Linked DNA regions of Caenorhabditis elegans. The protein of the gene in region 2 purifies or fractionates together with the protein of the main gene of each other region. This does not show direct contact. Each region holds a gene or a part of one and is shown on either strand. Other genes may lie near its edges. The genes, in order: Y49G5A.1, hrpf-2 and gpa-10.

What was found.
Region 1: the proteins of hrpf-2 (region 2) and Y49G5A.1 fractionate together in Caenorhabditis elegans (co-fractionation; one large-scale study listed by BioGRID). This does not show direct contact.
Region 3: the proteins of hrpf-2 (region 2) and gpa-10 fractionate together in Caenorhabditis elegans (co-fractionation; one large-scale study listed by BioGRID). This does not show direct contact.

The regions. Positions count from the first base shown.
Region 1 is NC_003283.11:5,282,141-5,291,554, forward strand, and holds Y49G5A.1 (BPTI/Kunitz inhibitor domain-containing protein), read right to left. Parts: upstream 5,234-9,414; 5' UTR 5,221-5,233; coding exon 5,089-5,220; intron 4,773-5,088; coding exon 4,661-4,772; intron 4,615-4,660; coding exon 4,553-4,614; intron 4,510-4,552; coding exon 4,267-4,509; 3' UTR 4,203-4,266; downstream 1-4,202.
Region 2 is NC_003282.8:6,369,194-6,380,870, forward strand, and holds hrpf-2 (RRM domain-containing protein), read right to left. Parts: upstream 7,331-11,677; 5' UTR 7,330-7,330; coding exon 7,227-7,329; intron 7,183-7,226; coding exon 6,889-7,182; intron 6,837-6,888; coding exon 6,699-6,836; intron 6,571-6,698; coding exon 6,426-6,570; intron 6,329-6,425; coding exon 6,264-6,328; intron 5,590-6,263; coding exon 5,357-5,589; intron 5,309-5,356; coding exon 5,115-5,308; intron 5,065-5,114; coding exon 4,404-5,064; 3' UTR 3,941-4,403; downstream 1-3,940. Other genes in the region: smg-3 (MIF4G domain-containing protein), read right to left, coding at 1-120, 594-968, 1,402-1,748, 1,800-2,672, 2,717-2,809, 2,862-3,091, 3,141-3,352, 3,408-3,586 and 1 more; bli-6 (Nematode cuticle collagen N-terminal domain-containing protein), read left to right, coding at 7,914-7,994, 8,103-8,915; shl-1 (BTB domain-containing protein), read right to left, coding at 9,566-9,643, 9,693-9,774, 10,382-10,574, 10,976-11,078, 11,167-11,343, 11,611-11,677.
Region 3 is NC_003283.11:6,849,626-6,860,179, forward strand, and holds gpa-10 (Guanine nucleotide-binding protein alpha-10 subunit), read right to left. Parts: upstream 5,187-10,554; 5' UTR 5,179-5,186; coding exon 5,117-5,178; intron 5,071-5,116; coding exon 4,963-5,070; intron 4,780-4,962; coding exon 4,641-4,779; intron 4,588-4,640; coding exon 4,427-4,587; intron 4,023-4,426; coding exon 3,854-4,022; intron 3,804-3,853; coding exon 3,714-3,803; intron 3,665-3,713; coding exon 3,511-3,664; intron 3,469-3,510; coding exon 3,387-3,468; intron 3,205-3,386; coding exon 3,099-3,204; 3' UTR 2,896-3,098; downstream 1-2,895.

The DNA.
Region 1 (9,414 bases), on a different chromosome or scaffold from region 2:
GGGGGCGCATAAGGAGAGTGACATACAAATTTTGAGAATCGATTCGATGTTTGATGAAGAAAAGTACGAAAGAAACCCCGTTTTTTACGATATATGTTGGAAAGACTGAGAGCTCATTTAGGAGGAAAACGAGCTAATGCATTGTCGCGCTCAGAGTGGCACAATTTTTTTTTGAGGTTTTGTAAACGTTTAAAAATACTCTTAATAGTCTAAGAATCTGAAATACTGAACAATTCTTAAGAACAATGGAAAAAATCGCAAGAGGTTAAAATTTTCAGCTCATAAAAACGCTACCTTCCGTCATGCAATTCTCATTTTGGAGGAAGCTCAAACAAGGGAGTTAGCTCATGTTCCTTGTTCCGCCTTTAATGAAATCTTTCGAAATTTTCATGATTTTTAGGAGAATCGTTTTGTTTTTTACTACAGCTTTCGATGCCTTTTTATGTTGCTCAGAGTTCTACCCAATTGGGAAAGTACACCTATACCCCCAACTTCACACGTTTTGGTAGCTGATGGAGCACCGAATTACCCTCGGAAGAATCAACTTATGTTGCGCAACTCGGAGTAACTGGATACAGTGATCACTTCCACAGGTGCGAGGTCAATTCAATGACACTTTGTAACAGTCAACACAGTATCTATTACGTATAAATAACACTTGCATGGAATTTTGGTGGAAAAACTAACATATCCACTTTGAAAGTGACAGTAATCCCGAATCTTGTCGGCAAGTTTGAAAACTCTTTAGGTCCATCTGGTGTTCCCGCAGAAACTGCGGTGCGGTCTTTGTGACAGCCGCCAACGTAAACAAATTGTATGGAGAAGGTTACTGTATAGAATAAAATACTTCAAGAAAGAATTAAAACTGGGGAGTGAGAAAATTTAAAAAAAAACTTATTAAAATATTAACTTTTTGAAAACATTATAGTTAAACGAAGGATCAATGCACAGTAATTTCTGATCAATATGCTTTATCTGTAAAACATAATATTGATTTTCGAAACACACATCTCTTTTGAATTGTTCACTTTCTGAGAGTTGAAACCGGTCAATTGAAGGACTTACAAAAATAGAAATAGGAGAGAAGTTGATTGGTTTGAGAATTATATTTATTTATATTGAAAAACGAAAAAATTGAAACAATACTATATTTGGTGAACGGCCAGAGTCACTAATTTTGGTGAACGGCCAGAGTCACTAATTTTGGTGAACGGTCAGAGTCACTAATTTTGGTGAACGGTCAGAGTTACTAATTTTGGTGAACGGTCAGAGTTACTAATTTTGGTGAACGGCCAGAGTCACTATATTTGGTGAACGGTCAGAGTCACTTTATTTGGTGAACGGCCAGAGTCACTAATTTTGGTGAACGGTCAGAGTCACTAATTTTGGTGAACGGTCAGAGTCACTAATTTTGGTGAACGGTCAGAGTCACTAATTTTGGTGAACGGTCAGAGTCACTAATTTTGGTGAACGGTCAGAGTTACTAATTTTGGTGAACGGCCAGAGTCACTAATTTTGGTGAACGGTCAGAGTTACTAATTTTGGTGAACGGCCAGAGTCACTATATTTGGTGAACGGTCAGAGTCACTTTATTTGGTAAACGGCCAGAGTCACTAATTTTGGTGAACGGTCAGAGTCACTAATTTTGGTGAACGGTCAGAGTCACTAATTTTGGTGAACGGCCAGAGTCACTAATTTTGGTGAACGGCCAGAGTCACTAATTTTGGTGAACGGTCAGAGTCACTTTATTTGGTGAACGGCCAGAGTCACTAATTTTGGTGAACGGTCAGAGTCACTTTATTTGGTAAACGGCCAGAGTCACTAATTTTGGTGAACGGTCAGAGTCACTTTATTTGGTGAACGGCCAGAGTCACTAATTTTGGTGAACGGTCAGAGTCACTTTATTTGGTAAACGGCCAGAGTCACTAATTTTGGTGAACGGCCAGAGTCACTAATTTTGGTGAACGGTCAGAGTCACTTTATTTGGTAAACGGCCAGAGTCACTAATTTTGGTGAACGGTCAGAGTCACTTTATTTGGTAAACGGCCAGAGTCACTACATTTGGTGAACGGCCAGAGTCACTAATTTTGGTGAACGGTCAGAGTCACTTTATTTGGTAAACGGCCAGAGTCACTAATTTTGGAGAACGGTCAGAGTCACTATATTTGGTGAACGGCCAGAGTCACTAATTTTGGTGAACGGCCAGAGTCACTAATTTTGGTGAACGGTCAGAGTTACTAATTTTGGTGAACGGCCAGAGTCACTTTATTTGGTAAACGGCCAGAGTCACTAATTTTGGTGAACGGTCAGAGTCACTATATTTGGTGAACGGCCAGAGTCACTAATTTTGGTGAACGGCCAGAGTCACTAATTTTGGTGAACGGCCAGAGTCACTAATTTTGATGAACGGCCAGAGTCACTATATTTGGTGAACGGTCAGAGTCACTAATTTTGATGAACGGTCAGAGTCACTTTATTTGGTAAACGGCCAGAGTCACTAATTTTGGTGAACGGCCAGAGTCACTATTTTTGGTGAACAGCCAGAGTCACTATACTTGGTGAATGGCCAGAGTCACTAATTTTGGTGAACGGTCCGAGTCACTATATCTGGTGAACAGCCAGAGTCACTAATTTTGGTGAACGGCCAGAGTCACTATATTTGGTGAACGGTCAGAGTCACTAATTTTGGTGAACGGCCAGAGTCACTATATTTGGTGAACGGTCAGAGTCACTATATTTGGTGAACGGCCAGAGTCACTATTTTTGCCAGAGTAACTATATTTAGTGAACGGCCAGAGTCACTATATTTGGTGAACGGCCAGAGTCACTATACTTGGTGAACGGCCAGAGTCACTATTTTTGGTGAACGGCCAGAGTCACTATATTTGGTGAACGGTCAGAGTCACTATATTTGGTGAACGGTCAGAGTCACTATATTTGGTGAACGGCCAGAGTCACTATTTTTGGTGAACGGCCAGAGTCACTATATTTGGTGAACGGCCAGAGTCACTAATTTTGGTGAACGGCCAGAGTCACTCATTTTGGTAAACGGCCAGAGTCACTATATTTGGTGAACGGTCAGAGTCACTAATTTTGATGAACGGCCAGAGTCACTATATTTGGTGAACGGCCAGAGTCACTATACTTGGTGAACGGTCAGAGTCACTATATTTGGTGAACGGTCAGAGTCACTATATTTGGTGAACGGTCAGAGTCACTATATTTGGTGAACGGTCAGAGTCACTATATTTGGTGAACGGCCAGAGTCACTATATTTGGTGAACGGCCAGAGTCACTATATTTGGTGAACGGTCAGAGTCACTATATTTGGTGAACGGCCAGAGTCACTAATTTTGGTGAACGGCCAGAGTCACTAATTTTGGTGAACGGTCAGAGTCACTTTATTTGGTGAACGGCCAGAGTCACTTTATTTGGTAAACGGCCAGAGTCACTATATTTGGTGAACGGTCAGAGTCACTAATTTTGATGAACGGCCAGAGTCACTATATTTGGTGAACGGCCAGAGTCACTATACTTGGTGAACGGCCAGAGTAACTATATTTAGTGAACGGCCAGAGTCACTAATTTTGGTGAACGGCCAGAGTCACTATATTTGGTGAACGGCCAGAGTCACTATTTTTGCCAGAGTAACTATATTTAGTGAACGGCCAGAGTCACTAATTTTGGTGAACGGCCAGAGTCACTAATTTTGGTGAACGGCCAGAGTCTTAATTTTTAAAGTAATGCAAACGTAGTAAATCTCCCAATAAAAAAATGCGGTCATATTGCATGAAATTTAGTTTTTTTGATCAAACTGAAAGCTTCTGGCACCTGGAAATTTTTGTAATTAAATTCTGAAAGCGCTTAAAATTTGTCCCTTCTAGGACTTTTTACATAAAAAGCAGGATGGTTCTAGAATTTTCTAGAAACTCTGGAAAAGTTTTAGAATTTTCTTGAAATTCCGCAAAACTCCAGGAAAAGTGTTGACTGTACAAAAATCTTACATTAGCAGTTTAAAATTTATTAAAACAATTTACCGTACGCCAGTCGGAGCACGTGCAAACGGCTGGTTTTTTATAATATGCTTCTACATTAAATTTTTCATTTAAAACAGTGGGATATCATATACAAATCGATAGCTTTGTATATTTGCTGGAGTCCGAAAATCTAAAGATTTCAGACGAATTGTTTGGAAAAGGTTATATTAGTTATATTAATTCATTAATAAAAAAGTTTATATAGATAAACATGCACGGCCGAAAATAATTAATTGCAGCAAGTGGCAAAATATGTTCCCTCCACACAGGTTGCTCCAGCTGGACAGAACTTTGATTTGCAACTCTTCCCAACAATCGTTGTAGGGATTCCACCCTCGACAATTTTTGCAACTTTCTTTCCTTTTGGACATTTTGGCTCATAATCAGCTTCAATCAACTTTTCAATCTTCTTGTCACAGCAAATATTAATATGATTAGAGTACCTACAGATACCTTTTGGCCCACATTCTTCCTGGAATTTTTACAGATTTTTTCAAAAACATGGAGCAACTTACATCGGTTTGGCAGTTTTTATCGTTTATTGGCTTACTTCCAGCGGCACATCCCGATTGATCATCTAAATACTTTGGTTTAAAGTAAAAAATTCAAATGAAAAAACATACATCCAGTACATGTAAATCGACATTCACTCTCAGTTTTGAAATTATTCTTGTTTCCTCCACATCCACTGTACTCAAAAGCCAATGGGATATTGGATTTTTGGTCAAAGTGGTACTGTAAATTATTAAGACTTTATACTTTATGAATTTTATGAAATAAAAATATTGAGAAATATGTTTAGTTTCTGAAAATAATTTTGCTTTTGTTGAAAGTTTTGAAAAGTTGAAATTTTGAAAAGACTTACAGTCTCAGTGTTATTTCGGCACGTTGACTTTTGAGTCAGTTTTTGAGCAAATTCTCGGAATTTTCAATTAAACGTATAGCTATTTTCAGAAAGTACCAATGTTTTTCTATATTTTTTTCCAATTTCCAAAAATTCCAAAGTTTCCAAAAAAAAGCGACATGAAAGCTTTGAAAAATCAAAACTCACTCTTATCTCCTTCTTTCCATTTTTACATGGTGTTTTTCCCATGTCCAATGGAAGTTTGCACTCCGGTTGAAGTGTCGAGACTAACTCACTGACACACAGAATAGTAGCCAAAAAGGTAAGAAGAAGATTCATTTTGCAAAATTGACAGAATAATTGAAATGATCACCGTTTTATACTACTGGAGAAATGGATAAACACGTTGAGAGATAAAGAAATCGAATGACTATACTCAACACTTCCTGGTTTAGATAAGAAGAAGGTCAAACTGGATAATGTTTGGTTGAAGTTCTAGTATAGATTCGTTTAGAAAAATCCGTAAATCTCTTTCAATTGTCGAATGCTAGCTGACAAAACACCCAGAAATCTTCCAATCTGAAATTCTACCTAAAAGTCCAATAAAACAATTATTAATATGGTTGTGTGGCCAAACCATCTAAAAAACTGTTCAGCAAATTTTATAAACGCTCTTGGTATCACCGTGAATGATTCTTTGAATCACTTCCTGGTCACAGAGATTACCAATACGGAGATCATAAATGCCATTTGAAAAAAAGAAATTTTAAAATAGGCTACTACAAAAAATTGACAAGTATTGTGATCAGGATAAAATTCTATCTGATTATTTTTCCAGTGCAAATTGCTTCAAATCAACGATGCTCGAGCTCGACAAATTTCGAAATTTGCAGCACACCAAAAATTTGACAAAACAATTTTGCCCAAAACTATTGAATTTGTCCCCTAAAATTTAGTAAAATTCCACAAAATGGAGTTAATTTGATGTTTAAGCTGACACAGCTCACGAAACTTATTCAGAAATCAGATGTGTGATATCTTTGGTGCTCCAAAATACATCTAAAATATAACATTTTTCCGGAGTCTGTTGAAAACGGCAAATTTGCCGAGTTTGCCGAGCGCGGCAAATTTTGAGATTTGCCGCACATCCCTGCTCCAAATGTGGAAGCCTTTAAAAGTGATCATATTTTTTTCAGAAAGAAAAGTTTCTTGAAAACTCCTATAGTTGTTCACATGTTTTACAAAACATCTGAAAGTCAAGATTATATATGAAAAACTACTCTAACGCAATTTTTCTTTCTGCCACCTATTCACTTTTTCCAAAAAGTTGGGAAATCTCTTGGACATAATTTTCTAATTTCTTAACCCAACTCAAAAGCCTTATTTGAGAATAGACCTCGAGTAACCTAAATTCTCCGGTCCACGTGCTTGTTTATTCCGTTCATGCGAAGTTTGTTCCTAAAATTTTTTTAATATATCCTCTGTAATCCCCCAGCTAAACTCACAAATTTCCGATTCCTTATTTGCTTTTCATGTCACTTCGACGTCTACTTTTTTCGTTGCAGTTGCTTTTCTCTGAAATTCTCCGCAAAAAATAACAAAATTTTGTTACTTGTTACTTTGTTCGCCGTTGATTGAATATGTGCTATGGCAACTCTTTCTGAGTTGTTGGGTTCAAGTTTTGGTAATTGTATGTTTTCAAAAAAAAACTGAAAAGTAAGGTTTTGATTTAGAACGTCAGAATAGAAAACCAAAACCCAAAAAATAAAATAGAAAACAAAAAAAAACGAATCATTATAGTCAAGTCTCTATTGCGAAAAGCAGCTACTATTAGCCTATGGGGTCAATTTGATTATCTGCCTTTGCCTAGTCGGTGTTTTCCCAGCGCAGAATCCACTTTGCTCTGCCTGTGCTCCAAAAGAGTGCTCATTTTCAAAAGACACACATACACTCTTCTCATTTTCTCGTTTTTTTGCTTCTTGTTTCTCATCGTCCGGTTCTTTTTTTTTCCACTTATCATCTACACTTCCTTGATACCATGGCTTATTTAGTGAAGATGGCTTATTTAGTGAAGAATTCATGACATACTGAACGAAAATGTTGCAATGTTCCTCTCTGGGAATAATATTAAATTTAAAGGTGTTGATTTGTGAATTTTTTCGGAAACACTCTTTTTTGAAATAATAAATATTTTAATCAAGGGTGTCTGTTTTTCGATTTTTCACAAAATCCGATATTTCGAAAATAAATTATATTTTTTGCTTACAATGCTGGATTTTTCTTTTCAGAAGAAAATTTTATTTTTTGCCATCAACAAAATTCGATAAAAATATAGATTAAAAAAAAAATATATATAAAAAGTATTCGCCAATTCCTGCTCACACTAATTTCCATGTTTGAATTACCTCCAAAATAGAGAGAAACCATTTCCGTACCAATCAGATTGAACTAAACACACTCCGTCTGATTGGTTCACACATGGGCGGAGCAAATCGCTGATTGGTTGCACTTTTCGTTTTAGAGGAAATTCAAAAAAGGAGATTACCGAGAGTTCGAAATTCGTAATTTCAGAATTAGGACTTTTGAAAATTTTTTCCCATTTTCGAATATTACTGTATATTCAAAGTATTTAGAAAAAAATCTACATTACTTAGAACTACCACAATGAGAAAAACTGAAAAATAGTTACTAATATAAAATTTTTAATAACTTATCAACACCGTAAAAAATAATTGTACAGAATTGTACAGTCAAAAAAACTTGTAAATGCTCTAGATGCACCCATTTTCAACAAATTCCAGCTATTTTTTGTTGGACGAATATGTTCCAAGGCGGTCAATCCGTCCAATCAACCAATTAGTTCTAATTCTCAACAAGAACAACGTGGATGAAAATGTCTTCTGATTCATTTTTTCCCTTCCTCCAGTCTTCCCCAAATGTCCTTTTCTTTCTCGTTATCCTTTGTATCCCCGTCATTCTGCTCCTTTGCTCCTTGGCAACATCTCATCAGTGCGTGTGGGGGGAGCTCTTCAAGATATTCGATTCCAACCAACACCACTCAAATTCACCCCTTTTATTCTCATTGTGAGAAGGCTTTGACATCACGATCAGAGATTGATGTTGTCTTATTTTTTTCTGTTTTTTATAAAGATTCTCACAAAACGAACATTTGTTTTCGTTTGATTTATATTCTGCAAATGATGTTAGTTTGCTCCGTTGCACTGGATATTGTTGGTTTTTTACTCTGCTTCATTAGATACGAGAACTGATATAGAGTAGGTTTTTCAATTTATTTCGCACGTTCTAGGTACATCTCGACCAAAAGCTGAAAAAAACTGGAAAAGAAATTTATAACCCATTTTCAAAAATTTTACTAATTTGTTTTACTTTTTTGTTGAACACGATTTTTGCTAGCCAGAAAATATCAACTTTGTTCTAAACCAAGCTACCGTTTCTTTATAGACTTTTTCGTTGAGTTTATGAAACATTTGTCACCTGACAAAATGTTCACTACTTATTTTTCTTGAGTTTTGTATTCAACCACTTTGCAAAATTTTCAAAATGAACAGAGTGGTATGTGTACTCAAGTAGAATAGCCGGGTGCAAGAGGGAATACGGTAATATATACGGTAAAAAATAGAATCCGGGTGCAAGAGGGAATACGGGAATACGGTAAAATATTTTTTGGGCAAAACTAGGGCAAGTTCTGTTCTGTTGGAGTGCTTTTGGAATTTTCAGAATTTTGAGCAATTTGCCAACAGTACTTCTTCATTCCGATTCATTTCAAATAGTGCCCAAAACCCCCTAAAAGTGTACAAAGCCGTTAAAACATAAGCTCCACAGCTCTGGCTCATTCGTCGACACTATGCCCATAAATCGCGCGTGCGGAGATTCTTGCTCCTGGAAACGCGTGAATGAGCTGCTCCGGCATTCCGTTTATAGCCCATCCTTTTTTTCTGGTTTTGTTCTTCAGGATTCATAACCAAAACATGTACATTCAAATTTCCAATTTGTTATAAAATACCTAAACCTACCGTAAGAAACCATCTATTTTGAGCATCTTTAAAATGAAACATTTTTAGTATGTTTTTGTCGTTTTGATTCAACAGTTCTGATTCTATAAATTGGCGGCTTTAAACTTTCAAATTTTAAATTCCACTGTTTCCGCCATTTGTTTCTCTGATGTACCATATTTTCCAAAAGTGAATTTCCTGACACCATCTCTTCAGCCATAACTGGTCTTTTTCTTCTTTTTTCTATCGGTTGCTCATTTCCATAAGCGCCCCGTCAGACTGGTTGCTGCTGTTGTCCTAGAATTCCCGCGGGACATCCCCCCTACTCTTTTCCATTTTATTCCTTTCGTCCCTATTCCTCTATCACGTGTCCTAACACTTACAGATGTACTCGATATTTATTTATTTATTTTCAAATTGATAAGAAGTTATTATAATAAAAGTTGTAGGAAAAAAAAAGATTCACACATTCTGTAAAATCAAATTAACAAATTTTTGATGATGCATCACAACCTAATCC
Region 2 (11,677 bases):
ATTTTTGTGACTATATCTTGAGCTTCTTTCAAATTTTTCGGCCATCGAAGCGAATTGGACTTCTTTTGGCGGAATTGACGGCACAATTCAGTATACGCAAGTTCGACTTCATACGGGAAACTGAAATAAGAAAATTAGATCACAGAATTAAAGCATTTCTTTACAATTTTATAAGTGGTGAAGTCGAATTTAAAACTTACAATTTAATTATGGAGCTTCGAAAATTTAAAAATCATTCACCCAATTTGAATTTCGCGCAAAAATGAATTTTTTAATGATACTGAGGCATAAACCTTTCAGCAAATTAATTAATTTTTTTCTGATTTTTAGCGATGCTCCGTAGTTTTTTATGCTTTCAAACGTAAAATGTAATTACAGTCGTGTATATCTACCTGTTTTGAAACAAAAATCCGAAGAAATTAAAGGAAAAATGCGAAAAACGCCTATAACCTGAGAAAAAATTAATTAATTGTCCGAGAGGAGTACACGGCCGAGTATCACACAAAACTCATTTTGGCGCGAAATTCAAATTAGATAAACAAATAAATTGCTTTTCTATAGTTTAAAGCTCCATAACATAATTTTGAATATACCTTGTCTGAACATCGAGAGGATTTTGATTTTCTCCCGTTTCTCCTCCCGAATTCGGTTGTTGTTCGGCAACTTCTTGATCCCAGGCATCTTTTTTGATGTAATAGTAACGATGGAAATATGATAGGAAATATCGCATTTTGATTTTTCCCGAGCCTTTCATGAAGAACTCGCGTAGAATTTCCAGCATAGCACAAATCATTCGAATTCGGTGCAGGTCTCGCCACGAATTTTCTGGTTCTGGATATGAAATCAGTTGATAGAGAATCTTCAAGACTAGATCTTCATCACACAGCTCAAAACTGTAGAGCTCTGCAAGATAAACGGCGGCAGAATGAGCCCATTGATTGTAGACTCCAGGATTTTCCAAGGATATTCTGGAAATAACTCTTATGCTTGCTGCTTGAACTGGAAACGAGAGATGCGCGGCACATTTACAAAACGATATTCTCTCATTGTCGTGCCGAAATATTTTTTTCGGAAATTTTAATAGAAATAAAGATAAACATGTATAGTTTCTAAGAATAATGTTACTTTCAATTGAAAGTTTTGGGAAGTTGCTCAAAAACTAACACAACCGTACGATGCAGTATTAATATTTGAATCAGGGGTGTGCGGCAAATCTCAAAATTTGTCGAGCTCGGCAAGTTCGGCAAATTCGGCAAATTTGCCGCACACCCCTGATTTGAATCAATGGGCAATGCCTCGAAACTTTTCATTGAGAGCAATTTTTTTCAGAAAGTACAAAAAAAGTTATATATATATTTCTGTGTAAATGTGCCGCACATCTCTATCGAAAATCGTTCATACCGAATAGTTTCAATTGTTGAATCAATTACAGCCATTCCAATCCATTGAAGATGTACCAAATTACAGAGACCAGCAATCGCAGATGCCACGTGTTGAAGATTTTCAATGGGAAGAAGCCACGTGGAGGAGAGATAACGAATTGCATAATCAGCAACTTCTGGATCATACCATTCAAGCCTCCGAAGACATTTTAAGAAAACATCAACGGTTGATTCATTGATATCCAGAATTATGTGACGAATAAATCGTTTCATTGGAGTATCCTCTTCGTCTAGCTTCAAACGAAGACGTTCTTCTTTTGAATCTTCTGGTGGAAGGCAGGTGAAATACGCATTGTCTATGAGCATCTGAAATATCGAAATTGAATTAATATTATGATGTAGTTCATCTAAACATACCGCTTGTCTTTGATCTTTCATTCGTTCTCGTTTCGCCTTCACAACTTCCAATAATCTCTTCATTTTTGCATGTGATTCAGTATGTCTATACAGATAAAGACCACTAGATTCCATGAATGTCGCTGTCATTTCTACAGAATGTCCACGTAAATCATACACAAGTTGTCTCAAACAACTGAGTCCTTCAGCACGAGAAATTACTCCAAACTTCATCAGTTCAGCTATCATCATCACGCAAACCATCTTTGATTCCACTTTGATTATAGCAGTAGCTGACGATGGTTTCTGTTGCAAAAATCCGCGGAATTTCTCGAGTAGTTGAGTTACGATTTCAGTTGTCAAATCAGGCATCACATTCTCGAGAGTAGCGACAAGTCGGGCATAAAATGGAACAACATCGATCCGAGACGGAGGTGGATCGATCATAAGCTTCACAAGCCTCTTGCGACAACCCTTATTATTCAGATTCGAAACAAAATAAATAGCTGCTTGGTCAGTTGAGTACTTGCTGACAAGATGATCCAAATCAAGTACAAAACTTTGCCATTTGCTGACTCCTCGTTCTTCGGATGCATCCACAGCTTCTTTGAGAAGAGCTTGAAGTTGAGAATCTTCTGGTGTCGTCTCCTTTTCAGACTCTCCACGTTGTAATGATGATCTCTTCGCATCCATTGCTCCGGATTCATTGATATTTTCCATATCGACATCTTCAATCCTTTCAGCCATCTTCGCTTTGCTGAGAGTTCTCTGTTCAGATTCTTTATAAAGATCCTTGGGAACCATCTGTCGAAGATCGATAAGATCCTCGTAGAATGCCTTCGTCTCTTCATCACTCCACAGCTTGATTGCTCCTTCTGCAAGTTTGCGTCCCATCTGAAATATAGAATAAGTTCAAGTTTTTGGTCGAATCAAAAAACCTCCAAGTTGGCAGCTTCATCCTCTTCATCGTCACTAGCTTCCTCTTTTAGCGGTTTCATTTCCACACCGATTGCAGACGATATCTCTATAGCCTAAAATGAGGGGTTTTCTCAAATTTTCCTATTGGGTAATTAATTTTTGTACCATTTTCCGCAGAGAATCCAATTCAGACTGAAGATCATTCAAAGTTGTCTTTTCCTCATCACCAGCGTCTCCACGGCTTCTTTCCTGTCGTTTAACTCTCTTCATCGCCTTATTTCTTGCCGAACACGTTTTCTCGGTTTTCGAATAAAGTGAATCGTAGTATGATTTGAAGAGCTCACGAATCGACTTTTTCTGTTCAACTGAGAGAGCTGATGACTCAGGGAGTTCTTCTGAAAACATTGATAATGAATATACGCTCCTGATTAAAAAGATAACAACCGTCTTGAATCTCGACCGTTTCAGCATCATCCATTGGAATTGGCACAATATTTGCAATTTGCCATCCAACAGTTCTAGATACTGTAGCCAATAATCCAACATTGACAAAATCAGTCTTATCTGTTTGAATCAAATAACTTAATACAGCACCGAGAACTTGAAGTCCTTCCTTTTCATTGAAAACTCCACACAGGCAAAGTTCAGCGAGGAAGCTGGAAATATTTTATTTATTCTCAGATGAAAACTGTCTTATTAATGCAATCTAACATAATATCCACTCTCAATTTTGCAACATTTGCAATTTTGTCACTCTTTTTAACAGGAAGAACTTTTTTGAATTCCCCAGCCATCTGTTCACTGAAGTTTGAATATTTCGCAGAAATTGCAAGGCAGAGCTCTGTTACTTTCGGAATATCGGATAACTTCAATTTTGTCTCTATAATTCCCTGAAAAATTATCCGATTTTCAATGGAATTCGAAATCAAGAACCCACCGACGCCATTTCCTCAACAAATTTGCTTAAATTCAATTTCGATAATTCTTCAATTAATTGTGGAACAGTGGCCGCACTGAGAAGCTTCACTTTTTTCATAAAACTCGTCGTCTTTTTCAATGTTGAATCTAAACTTCGCAATTCTTTTTCGTTATCGAGCAAAGTTTCTCGAATCTCGACCATTTGAAGACGACTTGTTTCTTGATATTTTACACGCTTTTTCAGCTCTTCCAGCCATGATGTCTCGACTTTTCGCCGCATCTGCATAGACTGTGATAGAGAATCGTCATTTTACAAAATAAAGTGTACACTCAAGTATATAATTGAACATTCCAACATTCTATGAAACAACCAAGAAGTGAAATAATTATCCATGTCTCATTTCCTAATTAAAAAGAAATAAGAATTTCCAAATTGTAACATATTAAAACGCGGGGCGAACAGCCATTAAATATCAAAAAGGATACAGAAAAAAAAAACAATGAAAGTCTCAAATTCAGAAATCTATTAATTAATAAAAATTGTGTAGGAAGATCAAAGCATGATATTTTGATAGTTGAACAGAACAGAGGTAAAATAAGACGTTCGCGTTGGAAAATCATGAGAACAAGATAATAAATAACCGAGACCTCGGAGAACAGAGAAAAAAGTAAAGTGATACACTAGATTATAAGGAACAATGCTCATTTGTCTGGAAAATCGAAAGAACTGGGATTTTGGCAGGAACAGAAAAAAGGAAGTCAGAAGTGAAAAGAAAAAAAAGAAGATAATTAATATCCACTTCGATGATCTCCAGCTCCAGCTCCCCATCCTCCATAAGCACTGTGATGAGACGGTTGTTGTTGCTGAGCCCATGTTGGCTGTGAGTCTCTAGGTTCTCTTTGACGATCGTAAGCTCCTCCAGCAGATGCTCCATACGAATATGATTCGCCTGATCCATATGCAGAATGAGCAGCTGTGGGATATGTGGATGCAGGTTCTGCAGAATACGCAGACTGTGCTTGTGAAGCATAATAAGCATCCCAGCTTGCAGCATAACCTCCGGCAGCACTGCTCTGATCATAACTCGGACCAGTAGATGCTGCTCCATAACTTCCCCACGTATCAGGAGCCCGGCCATGCGCAGCTGGTGGTGCACGAATTGGAGCACTGCGTGGTGGGATGCCTCGTGGTTCATATTTGGGTTCTATATCGTATCCTCGTGGTTCCCGTGGGCCATATGGATCCCTTGATTCTCTGTATGATGGTGGCATAGCTTGAGGACCTGCCCTGTAGCCAGAGTCTCGTTGTGGTGGCCCTCCGCCACGTCTTCCTCCGTTAAGAATCGGATCAGGCGCTGGAGCAGCTGATGCATTCGTGCCACTTGTTTCTTTCCAAAGAAGACGACGCATTGGACCAGGCGCTCCACGATTATCAAACAGTTCGACATATCTACAAATAACAATAATTATTCCATGTTCTGATTATAAATTTCAAATTACCGTCTTCCCATTCTTTGATTGTTACGCGAGAGAGCGACTTGAAGATCGTTGTAATTGTCAAATTCCGCAATAGCATCTCCAGATGGACGACCAGTTTCGTTGATTCCTATTTTGACTGAATGGCATCGAAGTGGAGAAAAAAAAGCAGCGATAGCATGATCATCAGCATCATAAGGAAGACCACGCATATACACCTGAAAAATAAAATAATTTATTTTACAATCGCAGAAAAATACTCATACCCTCAGCGGATCATCGCCTCCTCTTCCATAATCACTGCGACCTCCTTGATCGTGTCCACCATTGTATCCATAATCCCGACGTCCGCCATAACTTCCACGATTGTAGTCATCATAACCACGATCATAGCTGCTGTCGCCGTATCTTCCACCACCACCTCGTCTTCCGTGGTCATATCCTGAATCCACGGACATCAGTGGGCGAATTCCAGTTCTTTCGTAAGATGCCGAGTATTCTGTAAAATAAAAATTGAAAATATTTATTATCAAGATTTGTTATATCAATAAATAGTAAACTAAATGAGCATTTCAAGAGACAATTTTTAAAATGTTGAAATTTGATGTGCACCGTAACAGAAATGTGCGCAGATTTGCTTTTCAAATATTTCGACATGTTTTAATAAAGGCTCATTCAGATGGGTCTTGGCGCGAAAATGAGTATATGGTAGTTTTTATTTAATTTTTGCTGCTGTTTCTTGCATTTTTGAATTAAATCACTTCTTTTCTTGCGAATTTTGTCTCGTTTTCTATTTTTTATCAGAAAAATGAGAAAAAGGAAGGGCAAGATTGGCGAAAAACTGAATAATTTCATTGAGAAATGAAAGAAAAAAAAAAAAAACAGAAATGCGAAAATCTACCGTATTGCGCACCGAGGCCCATCAGAATAAACCGGTGCGCCTTTAAGAAGATTTTGTGAAATTGCGATGAATTACACCTTTTTTGGTACATCATGTCTTCTTCTGTGCACTTTAAAAGTCTAATTAGAATGCGAGATTTCAAGGACTTCAGTTTTCACATGAAATATACATTTTGACAGTTTAGGTCCAGTATTAATTAAAATACTGGAAATCGTGGCAAGACCCGCCTAAAAGCAAGTATGCGCCTTTAAAGTGAACTACTGTAATCTCACCTCCCGATCCTCCACCTTTTGCTCGATTAAATTCGACCATACTTGACATGAATACTTCAACGTATCTGAAAAAAGACAAATTACTTTTTAAAAATTAAAAATTCACCAAAATGAACCCGTAATCAGCAGTTACCATAAGTCATCATCATCATCAATACCCACCTCGATCCCATGTGCCTGTTATTGTAATCCATCGCCTTCTCGGCCGCGTCTTGCGTCGTAAATCGAACGAACGCCTCCCCGGATGGTCTCGATCTCGGCCCACCCGTCCCGCCGATTACAATTTCCGCCGGTGGTGGTTCTAGCCCTGGATAGAATAAGGAAACCCATAAGTTAACGTCCAAAAATTCAAGAGGGGAAGGGGAATCTAGGCATTGTACATTACATTTCACCGGCAGACTATTTGGATTATTTCTACATACTTATTATACTCACCTTCGAAAAATTTACGAACATCATCTTCTTTGCAAGACCATGGAACACCACGCAATCGAATAACGTGATTAACTTCTCCATTGGAATCTGGATCTGGACGAAATTCGAACTCAGCTTCGTCCGCTTCGACGGTAAAAACTGAAATTAAATAGCTTTAATAATGTTTTTTTCTAGTTAGAATCACGCCTACCTTCAATATATCGGTTACTTATTTCTTTTCTATCGTTTTCCATAGCTTTACCAGCTTCTTCGGTATTCTTGAACTCCACGTATGCTTCACCATTCGGGCGTCCAGTTGTGCATACGAATTTGACTCGTTCAATCGTGAGCCCAGCGAAAAATTCGTGAATATCTTTCTCGGTAGCATTGAATGGAAGCCCACGCAATCTTATATATTGGCTTCTTGGTGGTTCTCCAGAAGAAATTTTTGTTGGCATTGATTCGTCTGCTTCCTTAATTGTCGATTGATGAATGTCTGGAGCATCTGAAATTTTCAGTTTAAAAGATTAATTTACGAGTAAACCGAACCTGCAGGTGCGGATTGAGTTTTCACTGCAATTTCCTCTTCTTTTACTGCTATTTCTGCCGACTGTTGGTCTTCTGTTGTCGGTTGTGTTGTTTGTTCCGACATACTGGAAAATGCATAAAATTCGTTATAATAAGAGGGTCGTTGTAGTCAATATTGAATTTAAAAAATAGAAAACTGACAATTATTTGAAAAATAAGACAAAAAACCGCAAAAAAAACGATTAAAATTCAAACTGTTGGAATTTTTCTGCGAGGAAAATAAATTTGAAAGATAAAGGCACAGTGCAGTGGAGCGCGTTTACCTTGTGAACTTCATGCATCAGACTTGACGACACATTGCGGACTTGCATCTCTGGAAAAAACCAAATTTGGTGGCGCCATGGCCAAATAAAAAATTAATATAAAAAAGGAATTAATGATTGCATTCACTCGGAATTTACATGCTAAACCACAATTGTTGATGTAAAGAAACGGAAAAGATCACAAATTATATGTAAACTGATAAGATTGTCTTTTGAAAAATTGGAAAAACCTCTTATCCTTCCATTTTTTGTGATGTTTTTCGTTCACAGCGCATCGGTTAGAATCTCAAAACTAGCATAGCCGTATCGGATGTTGAGAAAACCGTTGAAAAACTGAACAATATATAAGAGAAACGGGCAAAGCCACAATTTGTCGGCTTCAGAAATGGAGGTGGAGACTCGTGTTAAAGCGTATCGCTTTGTGGCCTATGCTGCTGTTACATTCAGTGTTGTTGCAGTACTTTCGGTGAGTAAAAACGTAGAAACAAGACTAATATTATGATTTCTTTGATAATTTGGAAGTGAATTAAAAATTAAACTGTGTCCAAAAACCCATTTATGAACTTTTTTGTAGGTATGTATCACACTTCCGATGGTCTACAACTACGTCTCGCACGTGAAGAAGGGTATTCATCACGAGATCCGGTACTGTAAGGGTTCTGCTAAAGACATTCTCAACGAGGTCTCCTCGATCCGTTCCAACCGTACCGCCCGTCAAGCTTCTTACGGAGATTCTGGTGCCGCTGGATCTGCTGGGGCCGCTGGAGGATCCTGCTCTGGATGCTGTCTTCCAGGTCCAGCTGGACCCGTCGGTACCCCAGGAAAGCCAGGTCGTCCAGGAAAGCCTGGAGTAGCTGGACTTCCTGGAAATCCAGGACGTCCACCACAAGCTCCATGTGACCCAATTACCCCACCACCATGCAAACCGTGTCCACAAGGACCACCAGGAGTTCAAGGACCACCAGGACCAGCTGGAGATGCTGGACTTGATGGACAGCCAGGAGGTCCAGGACAAGATGGACAACCAGGTCAACCAGGACCAAAGGGACCACCAGGAGTCAATGGACAACCAGGAGCACCAGGGCAAGATGGGAACCCAGGTCAAGATGCTCCATCTGAGCCACTTGTTCCAGGAGAACCAGGTGCACCAGGAGAGGCTGGACCACAAGGACCACCTGGACAACCAGGAACTCCAGGACAAAATGGTCAACCAGGTCAACCAGGACCAAAGGGGCCATCTGGACAACCAGGACAACCAGGATCTGATGGAAATCCAGGACCAGCTGGACAAGCCGGACAAGCAGGAAGTGTTGGAGAGAAGGGAATCTGTCCAAAGTATTGTGCTATCGATGGAGGAATCTTCTTTGAGGACGGAACCCGACGATAAACTGTTGATAATTGCATTATTTTATGTATCTGTTTATAAAGTTTTTTGTAGTTTAAAATGCAATTGGAATGAAGCGGAATGTTGTACAGTTACATTTTTTCAGCAATGAGCTGATACAAATGAACCAGCTCACTAAGTTAAAAAAAAGTAATTCCCTTTGTGGTTTTCTAAAATTAGAAAATAAATAAAACTTTATCGACAGACCTGGAAAATTGAAAAAAAAAAAACTGCACATAAAAAGTTAATTTTACTTCAATTTTATATTTCCATCTGAAAAATCAAAAAAAAAATGAAAGACATCTGCCACCAATGGGCAGATCATCGGAGAGGCTCCTAGTAGCGGGGAAAATTTAGAGAAAAGTCACCTCGAACTGAAAAAGAAAAAGAGCGATATGAAGTTTTTCGGGAAACGGGTTCAATGGAAATATATTTGTTTCTAACTTGAAAAAGTAAAAATTACAGAAAAAAACAAAATTGCATCGTTGATGAGAGATTGGGGAAACCGAATAGTTGGGAGGGATGATTTCAGAAAACTTTTGTAAAAGAACAACTAGCTTCTAGAAAGACGGAACCGGTAGAGCAATGAGAGAAATTTTCTATAGAAAATGATTTTTAGAAATCATTTTAAAAAAATAAAATAAAGAAGTAGATTACAGTTGCGATACGCAAATTTTGTCATTATTTCGATGATTGAGTTCCATTTCATCAGGTTTTGGTAATTCACAAATCTGAAATTAATAATATAATTTTCAACAAATAACTGGTGTTAGTTTATACCTGATCCATATTCTGATTGAATGTTACACGAGTCTCTCGATCCAACTCTTCCATTTCTTCATTTTCTTTTGAAACACAGCATCTAAAAAAAATAAATTTCAGGAGATTTGTTGTTTTAACTCAAAATTGTGATCCAAAAATCAAAAATATCACCAAGGAAAAATGACAAAAATAAGAAGTAAATCCAACATCAAGAATTTAAGGTTTTTCCACTTTTGTCAATTTTGCTATTTGAATTCCCTCTAAAGTTGCACCAACGAGACCATTTCGTGGTACACTCACTTTTCGAATGGGGTTCTAATTTAAAATACTCAAAATATTGCTGACAAAGAAGAAACTCAAAAAAATTCAAGAAATAATTGAAACTACAATTTTTGAAAACATGGTATTTCAACGCTGCCTAATATCCTTGTTCTATGTTTGGTGGGAATTCAAGCAGACATCTTAGCCAGGGTTGCAGAGGCATATTTTTGAATTTTGGATTTTAAAACGCAACAATATTTTCTACAGTTTTCATTTTCATTCATGATTATTTTCCATTTTAAATGCATTAACGAAAAGAAAGCATCAGTGAATTTTTTTGATGATAATTTATTTTATTGATGAATAGTATAAAATTTTTTCTTATTTTTTTACCCTGAAATCCAGAGACTAATAAATCTTCAAAGGATTGAAAATCAAAAACTCACAATCGCCTTTTACGCTTTGTTTTTCCTTTCAATGAAGCTGTTTCACTGGGCGGAGGAGTATTTCTTCCACCTTCAAACATCACTTCTGATTCAACAAATTCACGTTCCGTCGCTTTTTCTAGACACTGAAGAAGATGATGATGTTGGATTTCGAAGATATCTTCGTCTCGGAGAGCATCGAAAGAGAGATGACCTGCAAAAATGCACTTTTTAGAGTTATCTCAATTATAATCTAGAATTTTGTACACATAATTTTTTTTTAATGTTTCACATTGCTAATAAATTAAGTAACCGAAAACCTAAAACATTAAATATAAAAAAACGGAATAAAAAAAAACCACAGAATCTGTTTTTTATACCGGATTCAAAATTTGTGCCCTCTTGAGCAAGCGGAATCACGAACTGTTTTTATTAATTTTTAATTTTAATGTTTTATATTTGCTTTTTTTGAGCCAACAGAAATGCCAAGAGACCGAAAAACAAAATGGAATACTTTTCTATATTTCCAAAGTTAAATATTTTTGTGACAACTCAATAATAACTAACTTAAGCCGGCAATACGAAATGTTCTAATGAAAAAAAAAACCAACTTACCCTGTTCAAATGCTAGCATCCGAGCTTCATGAGCTCTCTTCTTATTGAATAATGCTAGTCCAGACGCGTTTTTAACGATCCGAATTCTAGCAAGACGGGCTTTCTGAAAATTGATTAAATTTAATCCAACAAATTTGCAAAAAAATCACTAAGTGTTTAAAAAGGTTTTACAACTGAACGAAAAACCATACCTTCTGTGCTTTTCTCTTGTCAGCTCTCTGATTTTGATGATAAATTCGAGAGAAATTGCTGACAATAACTGGAACTGGAAGAGCAATAACCAACACTCCAGACAGTGAGCATACTCCTCCAACTATTTTACCCATTATTGTTGATGGAACCATGTCTCCGTATCCAAGAGTTGTTAGCTGAAAGAAAAATTAATTTTTTATTATGAAAAACAATGACTGTGTTGTATGAATAGGTTTCACCTTTAGTCTTCAGTGATTTGTATAATTAAAAAAAAAATATTTTAATTTTTAATTTTTCCAATGCAAATATTAACTTTAAAATTTACATTTTCCTAGTGCATTTGGGATAAGGTATTTGCAAAACGTTGAAGGTTTTATGGAGAGTATTTAACGTAAAAATCAAAATTTCAACCCCGTTTCTTAATTTTACAAAGAAAAACTCACAGTCACAATTGTATACCAGAAAGCTGACGGAATCGAGGTAAATCTCGTCGCGTCGACCTTTTTCTCC
Region 3 (10,554 bases), on a different chromosome or scaffold from region 2:
AAGGGCCAACACTGGGAACACTTTTTCCAGGAAAAGATATTTGAAATGAAAATGACCAGCTGACATTGTCCTCTCATTTAGGTAACGCAATTTTCCCATAAGTGAACAAAAATGCTGATAAGCAATTTATTGAAATCAAAGAAGGAGGCTACAAAGTATGAACACCAAACTCGCAGTGTGTGCAAAACCCGAGAAATAGGCCGTAGGTGGACACCTAGGCAAGCATGCTTAAAACGTGTCCAGGGTGAAAATTAATTTTGGAAACATTTCTTGAGCTTCAGCCCACGTGCCCACCGGTTTTTAAAATCGAATTTTTATAGTTTTTATGCTAAAAGTTAATTATGTTAATTAAATGTCATTCTGTATATAATACATACCACGAAAGCCTTGAGGAATTGTATTGAATATATTTATTAAACCGCTGAATTTAGAAATTTCAGAACATTGAAGTGTACATTTCTTTCTCGGATGTAATCATTACGTTGTTTTTTTGTAAAAAAGCGCTTACTACAAGATACAATATGTAAAAGATACTGTCACAAATCACACCGAACGATAACAATCAAAAATCCACAATTTTTGTCATCATTTCTATTATTTTTGATATCTATCGAATGTTACCCATCTAGATCAGTAAGTTACTAACTTATAATAATCTAGAAGTATATTAAGTTGTCTTAAAAATGACCCTAAAGTACATCATTTTCTTATATTTTCTAGCATATGCAAATTCTTTCAAAATACTTGTGTAATTTAGGAGAAATATGGTTTTTCTAAAATAAAAAGTTTAGAATAAAACACCTACAATTTTTTAAAACAAATAGTCCAGACATATGTAGATAATTCAATTTTATCAAAAACTTTTTCTCATAAATATTAAAAAAAGTTTTAATCTAGTAGAAAATTGCCAAGATGCAAGTAGGTTTTTTTAATTTAGAAAACCTTTGTAAGATCTTCATTTTCACTTTTAATTTTACTAAATTTGACACATTATCAAAATTTGAATGTCAGCAAGACGAGGAGATGCCCCGAGAAAATCAACCACTCGATGGTGATATGACAAAATATTGGACCACTGATGTCGATTCTTCTAACGCAGACACCGTAAGAAAAAGTCTTGAAAATATTAACTTATTTGTATTTTGAGTTTTTAGATCTTCTCCGTTTTCACGGACGCATTTAAATTGGCATGCAGTAATTTGATGAGAAACAGGATAGTTTTTAACGAAATGAAGTCCAAAAAATTCGATGTTGGAATCTTTGAACCGCAACTTGTCTGTGGTCTCGGGTACATGCACGCTCTAGGAATTGAAAAAATCATAATGGCATCGTTGTATATGTTCTTCGACGGTGTTCTTTCTACGATTGGGGAATCTATCGATTTCAGTTATGTTCCTGGAATGTACAGCAAATGTGGAGATAAGATGGGTCTAACTGAAAAAGTGGAAAACTATCAGATGACACAAGCAATATATAGAAAAGATTTTGGAGTTTGGGACAAAGAAACTGAAATTTACAAAAAAATATTTGGGAGATAGCGTTCCACATTGGAGAGATTTAATGCCAGCTTGCTCATTGTTCTTCACAAATTCAATTCCATATGTAGACTTTCCAAGAACTATTACCCAAAAGACAGTTCCAATTGGTGGAATTTCCGTGAATATGGAAGAAATAAAATCGAAAAGGCTCCCAGTGGAGTGGAGTAAAGTTTTGGATAAAAGACCACAAACAATGCTAATCTCTTTTGGTTCATTGATAATGTGGATATGCCTTCACAGTTCAGGTACGTATGTAGATATTAGTAGACATCGTCTTCTTTTTTTTTGACTTATGTAAACCTGGTGACTTCTATTAGATGAACCATTCCTGTTCAGTCGATAGACTCACAAAAGCTGAAAGATTTGCCTACTTATCAACTGAAAATGCATCAAACTATTGACATTTTAAAGGTTCATATTTTGAAAAAGAGATACATTTGACTAAAAGCTTCTATTTATTTTGATAATTTATTTCTTATTTTTCATATTTTTTTCTTATTTTTCATATTTTGATAATTTATTTCTTATGAAGTTTTTTTTTTTTTTTTTTTGAAGTTTTCGAGCCATGAATTCATTTTTTTTCAAGCCAGTTTTTCAGGCAAAAACTCCAAAAACTCCACTCCATATTCAAGTTATAATTATTTTAATAATTTTCACACTGTTGTAATCAAAATATTAATCAGATATGTATTTCAGAGACGAAATTTTCAATGCAATTAAATCTTTACCAAATGTAACGCTTATTTGGAAATATGAAACAAATGATTTGCAATGAGCAGAAGAAATTGAAAATATTCATTTTTCAAAATGGATTCCTCAAACCGCATTACTAAATGATGACCGTTTAACAGCATTCATGACACATGGAGGTCTTGGTAGCACAACTGAACTTGCGTATCTTGGTAAACCAGCATTAATGGTACCAGTATTTGCCGATCAAAACAGAAATTCTTTGATGTTGGCAAGACATGGAGGAGTTCTTGTAGTCGAAACGATCTTTGGAAAAGGGAACTTGTGAAAAATTCCATTTATTCAATTTTGAACGACGATCATTTTAAGAAGAACTCTAAAAAACTGGCAGAAATGTTGAGAAACCAACCAACAAATCCCAAGGAGACCGTAGTCAAATACACTGAATTTGTTGCAAAATTTGGTCCGTTCCCGGAAATGGATCCATATGGGAGGACACTTGGATTCATTCAAAGAAATCTTTTAGATGTATACCTTGTTATTATCTTTCCGTATATTTTTGGAATTCTGTCCATTTATCTTGTCGCATGTTTTTGTTTGAGAAGATGTGAAAAGTCAGGTAAAAACGATTGAACATTTTTCTTCTAAAAGAGATTCGAATAAATATGTATGTTCCTTTAATCTTATTTGGTTCTCACTTTACACTGAAAATTAGTACAAATTTTCATCAGAGTTTCAGTCACGATAAATTTCAATCAATAAAAAATGACACCACTCAAATAGAATAGGGAATAATTATTACTAATCACACACGTTGTTTGAGGCAGATACTAAATTGAAGAACAATAATTTGTGCAGAGCGATTGGAGTTCATATCATTCCCGTATCTTTGAGATTATCTTGAATAACTGTATCTATCACTGTATTGATGATTATTTGAACTTGATCCGATATTGCACATGTTTCATGGGTGTACCTGTAAAATTACGTTTTTGAAATTTACATTTTATTTTCTAGTACTGTTAGTGTTCCATACTGGCACAAAAAAGTCAAAAATATCCAAGAAGTCGAATACGTTCAGAATTCTTTTAGTTTGTAAGTTCATAGTTAGATTTTCAAAAGTGCAGTAGACACAAAACTGTAGTCTCAAAAACTCACATTCTTTTTTTGAAGTCCGGGTGAATCCCTTCTCTAAATTGTCTCCGAAAGAACTTTGTACCTTCTGAAACTGTGTTTGCTCCTGAAACATGAAACTATGAATTCAAAAACTTGGAAAACAAACCTTCAAATTTTGGAAAGTAATCCTTAATCTTCACATGTTTTACTTTCTCCTCGAACAAATCAATTTTGTTCAGGAAAAGTATGACTGCCGCTTTTTTGAAAAACTTTCCATTAAAAACTGTCCAGAACAATCTGATGGATTCATGCATACGGTTCTAAAATTTAATTTTTCGTTTCAATTTTGTGGCTGTTTGGAAAAATTACCGTCTCTTCATCCTCCGCTAACTTCTGATCAAACTCGCTAATAGCCGCTACAAAAAGAACAGCGTCAGCCTCATCGAAAAAGTGATACCACTGAAATTAAATTCTCAATTAGGAAACAAAGAAATAGTTAAATTTCCAACTTTTCGTCTTTCAGATCGTTGTCCACCACAATCGCAAATCATCAATTTGATATTGTTCATAATAACTTCGACTTGTGCAACTCCCGTTGTAGGTACCCGTATGTGAACAATATCCTGATTTGTCGGTTCAAAGCCTGGCAATTTTATACGGTCGATGTTGTCGAAGAAACTGAAAATGAATTATTAAGTTCAAATAACACAATTTTGAGATAATTTAATGTAGTTATTCAATTGATTTTTTATTGCAAAATTTGCCTGCTAGAACAAGAACATAAACAAGTTAACATCATAGACTTCAGCGATCACTATCACAATTTTTTTTTTCTAGACCTGTTAATTACATGTTCCGTTAGACCAAATGACAGATACACGAACAATGTCTGTAGTTTGGTTTTATTTGTGAACGAACAAACATATACATAACTCGAAACATTTAAATAATAACTGTGTGACATAAAAGAATATTTTAAGAAACATTTCAGACATTTTTGAAACGTGTTTTTGAATCAATTGAAACATTTTTCTATAATTCTAACTATGAATGCGCTACAAGTTTCCAAAAAAAAAACTCACTACTTGGCACTATCTGTCAAATGAAATGTGTCTCTCTTGGAATACGCGTCCTGTATTGCACTGTTTCCCCAGAATTCCTTCAGTGTATCGGCGAGTTCAGGTCTCATTATTCCATCATGAATTACCGCCATTTTCAGTTCTTCGCACATCACAGTATATCGCTAAAAGTTTTTAATTTGAAACCTAATAAAACCCGAGAGGTCGCAAAACTCACTTTATCATCGTCTTCCGTCATCTCCAAAATATATTCTCTGACGTATTCTAACAACATCTCAGAAAATTGACATAAATTCTGTATAATTAGCACTTTTCGTTCGTGTAGTTCTGTCTTTGTGTAGTTTCCAGTCATGGCTCTGAAAATAGAATGTTTGGCTACCCATATAACAGGAAATATAATAGTTATTAATTAATTTTCAAACTGTAAACAGAAAGAAACAGACACAACTCCCAAGGTATAATCAGAAACCTATTTATTTTCCCGTTGTTAATTCAAAATATTAGGTCATGTACAAGAATTATTAAAAAATCAAATATACCTCATCTGTTTCATGACAGTACTTTTTCCACTTTCACCAGGCCCCAGTAGAAGAACGGTTTGCTCCAATTGCATGTTTTTCTTCTTTTCGAGCTGTTTTTCTATTTCTCTGAAATATTAACGACAATTATGAAACATGTAACTCAAAAACTGACTTGTTAACTTTGATCTGATCCTTCATCTCGTCAGTGAGTACAAATGACTGACAGACCCCCATGTTTCCCTGAACATATATTGAAATTTTTGAAAGAACAAAAATAATTCAAAGATTATGACGATTATGATAGAGAACGCAAACTTTAATTATAGGATGCCAGCGAGATTCAACTTAGACAACGAGACAAATGAAATGACTAATCAGAAAAAAAAAAACAAAACATGTTGTCATGCCAAAAAAAAAGTTTCAGAAAGCTTGTCGAGACAAACTGAACAGACTTTTCGGCAACGAAAATGTAGATTTCACACCGGAAATAAAGTCAATTTCCACTGTATTGCTCAGAGAGAATGTACAAGTTTCGTCAAAAAAAGTTACTATTTTCATGAGAATTTTCAAATCCATCAATGCAAGAGAACATTCCTTCAAAAAAAATTATTTGAAACCCGTATTTCAAAGCCGCGCGACAAACTGAATATGTACCAAAAAAAAAAAATAAATAGATACGTAACTCGGGATGAAACCAAACTCGTTGACTAATTTTCAAAAGTCATCAACACTAGAAACGACAATATAATTTCGAAAGAACTTGTTAGACTTAAAGAGAGATAGGTAAATCCTAAATTTCAAGACCTTGTGTGACGCCATAATTTTCCATGAAAAAGCAACATGGTAGCACGTGAAGAACATAGTTACTTTAGATTTGTAGATTTGTACTTTAGATTGGGATGTTTTTTTCTTTAACACAAATTGTTTTTTGTCTCAATGTTAAAGATGAACCAGTTTTTCAAGAACGTTCAAAATGACATTTGGAAACTTTCTCTAAAACCACAGATTTTGGTTCACCGAAAAACATCTGAACACTTTTTCACTACCCGTCAAAGTCAAGAAATATTTAAATGAAATGGCGATAAATTACATTTTTGTTTGAAACCAGTTGTAATCGTTATGTTCGCAAAATTTTTCCGAAAAGCGCATGAGCTCAACACAAATTTAAAATCACATAGGCTTAAAAGTCGTGACAACACAAAAATGTAAAAAAAAAGTTGTGGAGAACACGAGAGAAGAAAAGGGAAAAAAGCAAAGTTATGATTAAATGAAATGAGAAGGAAGGTAGTGATGATTAGCGGCGGTCCTCTCCCCCCGGTTTCCTTGACTACCGCAGATTCCCAATTAAGCCTCTCTGTAACAAAGAAACTAAAAGGTGAATAACAAAACAAAAACACGAGAACAACTTCTGACTTGCATGTTGAATGAAATACACTCAAAAATCGCGAGACTACTTGAGCGTGGGAATGATCAAAAAGAAGGAAAAAAGATAATGTGATTGTTGGTTGTGTATTTGGGTTAGAGGGAGATATATTTATATTATCAATCAAAAAAAAACAGAATACCCGATGCTCTATAGGGAAACATTTATGTTGCTATGGTTTTATGATAGCTGGTCAGAAAAATAGATAGATTAGAAAAGCGTTTTGAAAAAGAGAGAACTACGCCAATTGAGTAAAGTTTTTTAAACGACACGCAAACGGAAATCGTTAGCTTTGTTGTGAGTTAAACCGGAAACAAGTTTATCTGGTCTTGATATCAATAATAACACTGGGACCAAATCTCAAACTTCACTAGCTAAAATAATAAAAAGTAAATGAGTTAAATGTCTTTGTGAGTCTGAAAACGAATAAAAGCGGAAAGATTATTGCAAAAAAATTATGTTCGAACTTTCTGATATTGAATTATTCTTGCCGAATCATGCACCACAAGATGCCAAGATTAAAATAAAATCAAGCCAAATTCGGAGTTCGTTCATTTTGTATGAAATATTGGAAAGACCGGAATTAAACATTGATAAGAATGATTTTTGAAGTTACATTTACGAACCTCAAAATAATTTTTAAACGATTTCAGATCACAAATGTCAGAATTATCACCTAAATTTTTTTGTGAAAATTAATAAACAGATCATGGAATTTTTGTCTGGGATAATATGGTGACTTTAGAACATTTAGAGATATTTATAGCAAAAAAAAAGTCAGACAACGTATTTTATTTATGTTTTCGACCAGCTGGAACCAGAATCTCCAATTTTGAGAATTCTTGCTCACGAGCAGATTTTTTTTTCGCTGACCAGGGTAAATTCCAGAAACCGACCGTACCTATGAAATGCCCACTCTCGAAGTGTTTAGGAAATTAGATAAACTGACAAGTTTTTGCATTTGAATTTTGAGGTGAAAGAAGTTGTAGAAACGTACAGATTTTTAAAAATTAGTTAATTTCCCGGAAGTTTTAATTTCTTCAAATTTAAGAAAAATGAACAATAAAATTTCAGCTTCAGGATTAGAATCACTTCCGAAACTTTTTTTTTGTTCTGAACTTCTATTGTTTGATATACAAAGAGTATAACAAAATTACTTATCACACTTCCTACGCCAAACGAAATCTCCCGGCGTTCACTAGAATAATCAAAATTTTAGGAACTCCAAGAAATGAAAGACACGTTGTCTGGAAAACTGTTTTTGGTTTGGTGAACTCATGTATCACCTGCATAAACGGAATAAGGAATTGAATGAGTGCCCTACGAGACACAAAAAAATCAATAAAAATGAATATTCTAAATTCTTGTACATAAGTCTTTGTATAAAGGAAGTATTCAAAATTCAATTTAAAAAAAAGTATTTGTCGAAATGCATATTTCTTGAGAAATTACAAAATTAAAAAAAGGTCACTTGACAAATGCTCACTGTCAAAAATGAGAGCTAATCAACAACAAATTGGCTCACATCATGATTTTTCTCTCGTCGCAAAAATGATATCTCAAATATGGAAGCTTGTGATGGCTCAATGGAGCATTAAACCAAAACGTAAGCACAAAAAATGAGCGTGATTTGAAAGTACAAGATTTGAAATGAATGCAGCAAAAATCAAATAACACTAAATGAGAATTATTAAAAATCAAGTCGTAAATTAGGAGTGGGGGAGTGTGTGTGTGTGTTGCTCGCTGAGTCAAAATGAATCATTTTGACTTGAACAGCACGGCTGGTTCAGTGATTTCTGATTTTTCAATGAACAGCAAAAACGTTAGAAAACACTGTGAACGTCATTTGAAATGTTAAGAAAATATTAAAAAAAATATACAAATTCGTTTTCAAAAATCTTGCCTCTAGTGACTTTACTAGAAAACGCGATTTTTGTTTCTTGGGGTACATAAAAAACAGGTGAAAATTGACTCAAATGCTAATAAATGAAAGTTGATTTGTGCAAAAAAACCATTATGGAAATACAATGGGAAAAATCTCTTCGATTTTGCAAAAGTACTGAGTGGAAAGCTAAATAATGTAAAAACAATTTTGAGAACACATGGCAGTGTTTAAAATCTATGAAATGGAGAAAATAACTTAGTTAAAACATCTGATGTTTGGAAAAAATGAAGATTTAAAAATTTATACCAAAAATTCGAATTGTGATAGTTGTAAATAATTTTTTGATAGATTGAGATAGTTTTGGCTTAAAGTTTTTAACTTTAAAAGTGATAAAGTTCTCCCACAATAGCAAGAATAAAAGTTTTTGTTCTTGTTGCGCAGAAAACCTCAGAATATAATAAGTTAAAAAATATCAAAAGCGCGTCACATTCCCATTGTTGTTTGTCATACAAATCAGGTAACACCACCGCAACTTGTGAGAGTTTTTTGCGAATAATTTAAGAAAAAAGTTAATACTAACTCTCAGGGTTTTAGGATGTTGTACTATTTGGGAAAAAATTTTAGGAACAAAAATAATGTAAATATTTTTTTGTATGAGGGGTACCGAAAAATTGTTAGAGCATCTAACCTTCTGTGATAAAGGTGGAACAGTTAAAATACATCTGTCTTCTAAAAATATTTCAAAATGTGGAGGTTTTTTGATCACCATGAACCGAAATATAAATCGTGTTTGATACGTCTTTGGGAAAATACGAAACGATGTGTAGGACAGAAGTGAATAAAAATGGACACAAAATCTGTAGTCCAAGTTATAAAAATAGATAATATATACTTTTTTTTTCATTGGTACGATGTAGATACATGATTCAGGACTATAAGGACTGATTTCTTGGGACTCAAAATTTCAGAGGAATTAATTTCAAGAGTTTTCCATTTTCAAGTAGCAAATATAAATCTGCAACGCTTGAAATAACACTTTCACTATTTTCGAAGAAAAACTTTGCAGATGCAGGCAAGAGGAACTGCATAAGTCATTTTTGAAGTAATAATAAATTTTCTGATATAACATTTCAAATTACTTCTTCAAAACTTTTTGCTAATTTTATAATAATACTTCTTGTACTTTTTGAGGTGTGTACTTAGTTAGTTTTAAATGCTAGTGTCTGGAAAAAAATTAATTTTTTATCCCAAAATATTGTTCTTTTAATTTTTTCCCGAAAGTGACATGATGCTTTAACAAACCATAAATAATTTGCCCAATTCATCTCAAATTCTTTTCAGCCGCCATGCCCACCAACTTCATTTTTCAACAAGTCTCTCGAATCTATAAAGACCTCTCAAAATTCAAACCAAATTTCATCAGAATGCAATTCCATTTTTTTTTTGAATAAATTCCAACAAGTCTCCGTTTTATTCTTTAGCTTTTCTCTAAATGGTTCTCCGGAAGCTCCAGATTTCCGTTTTTCTGGTGTCCTTTTTCAATCGGAACCGTTTTTTTGGAGAACATACTGACGTCTTCTTTTTTCCATTGAAGTTTCATCTAACTTCTCTTTTTCATTCAAAGTTTTTTCTCTTAAAATTAGCCGAATTTCTAGAAAACGTCATTCTTTCTTTTTTTACGTTTCCTCTCCACGCTATATTTTTCTTCAAAATTTATGTATCAACTTGAGCGTTTAATGACCAAAATAGAGTAGGTTGCTAAAGTTTTAAAGACCATAGAGAATAATGTATTGAAGCTTAATGCAACATTTTCCAGATTTTTTGTGAATCAATCTCAATCTCGGACATTGAGAAAAAATTAAAAAAAAACAAAAATGGTCGAATTGTTATTGAATTTCAAATGCCAACGCATTCATGTCAGTTTTCCTTTTATTTAGTTTTCATGATAAAAAAATGTGTTGCTCTCAATTTAAATATAAATTCTCGAAATTATATGGTATGTGAATTTTTGGTTTTTTGCTGATTTTAAAAAATGTTCCAATAAGCATGCATAGCTCACAAACTAGAAACTTTAGCAAAAAGGTTAACTAGCAATTTAGTCTTAATGAGATCAACATATTTTAACACGTTTCCACAAAAATGTAGCCCGAAAACTTTTAGCCACCGCTGTATGTGCATACAAACAGCGCAAAAAGTTACAGTTTAGATCTCGCGCAACAAACTTTGAGGCCACACATTTTTTTGGACCAATCACTTGTTTCAGAAAGTTAATTTTCTCTGTAAAGAAATAAAATGTTCAGCT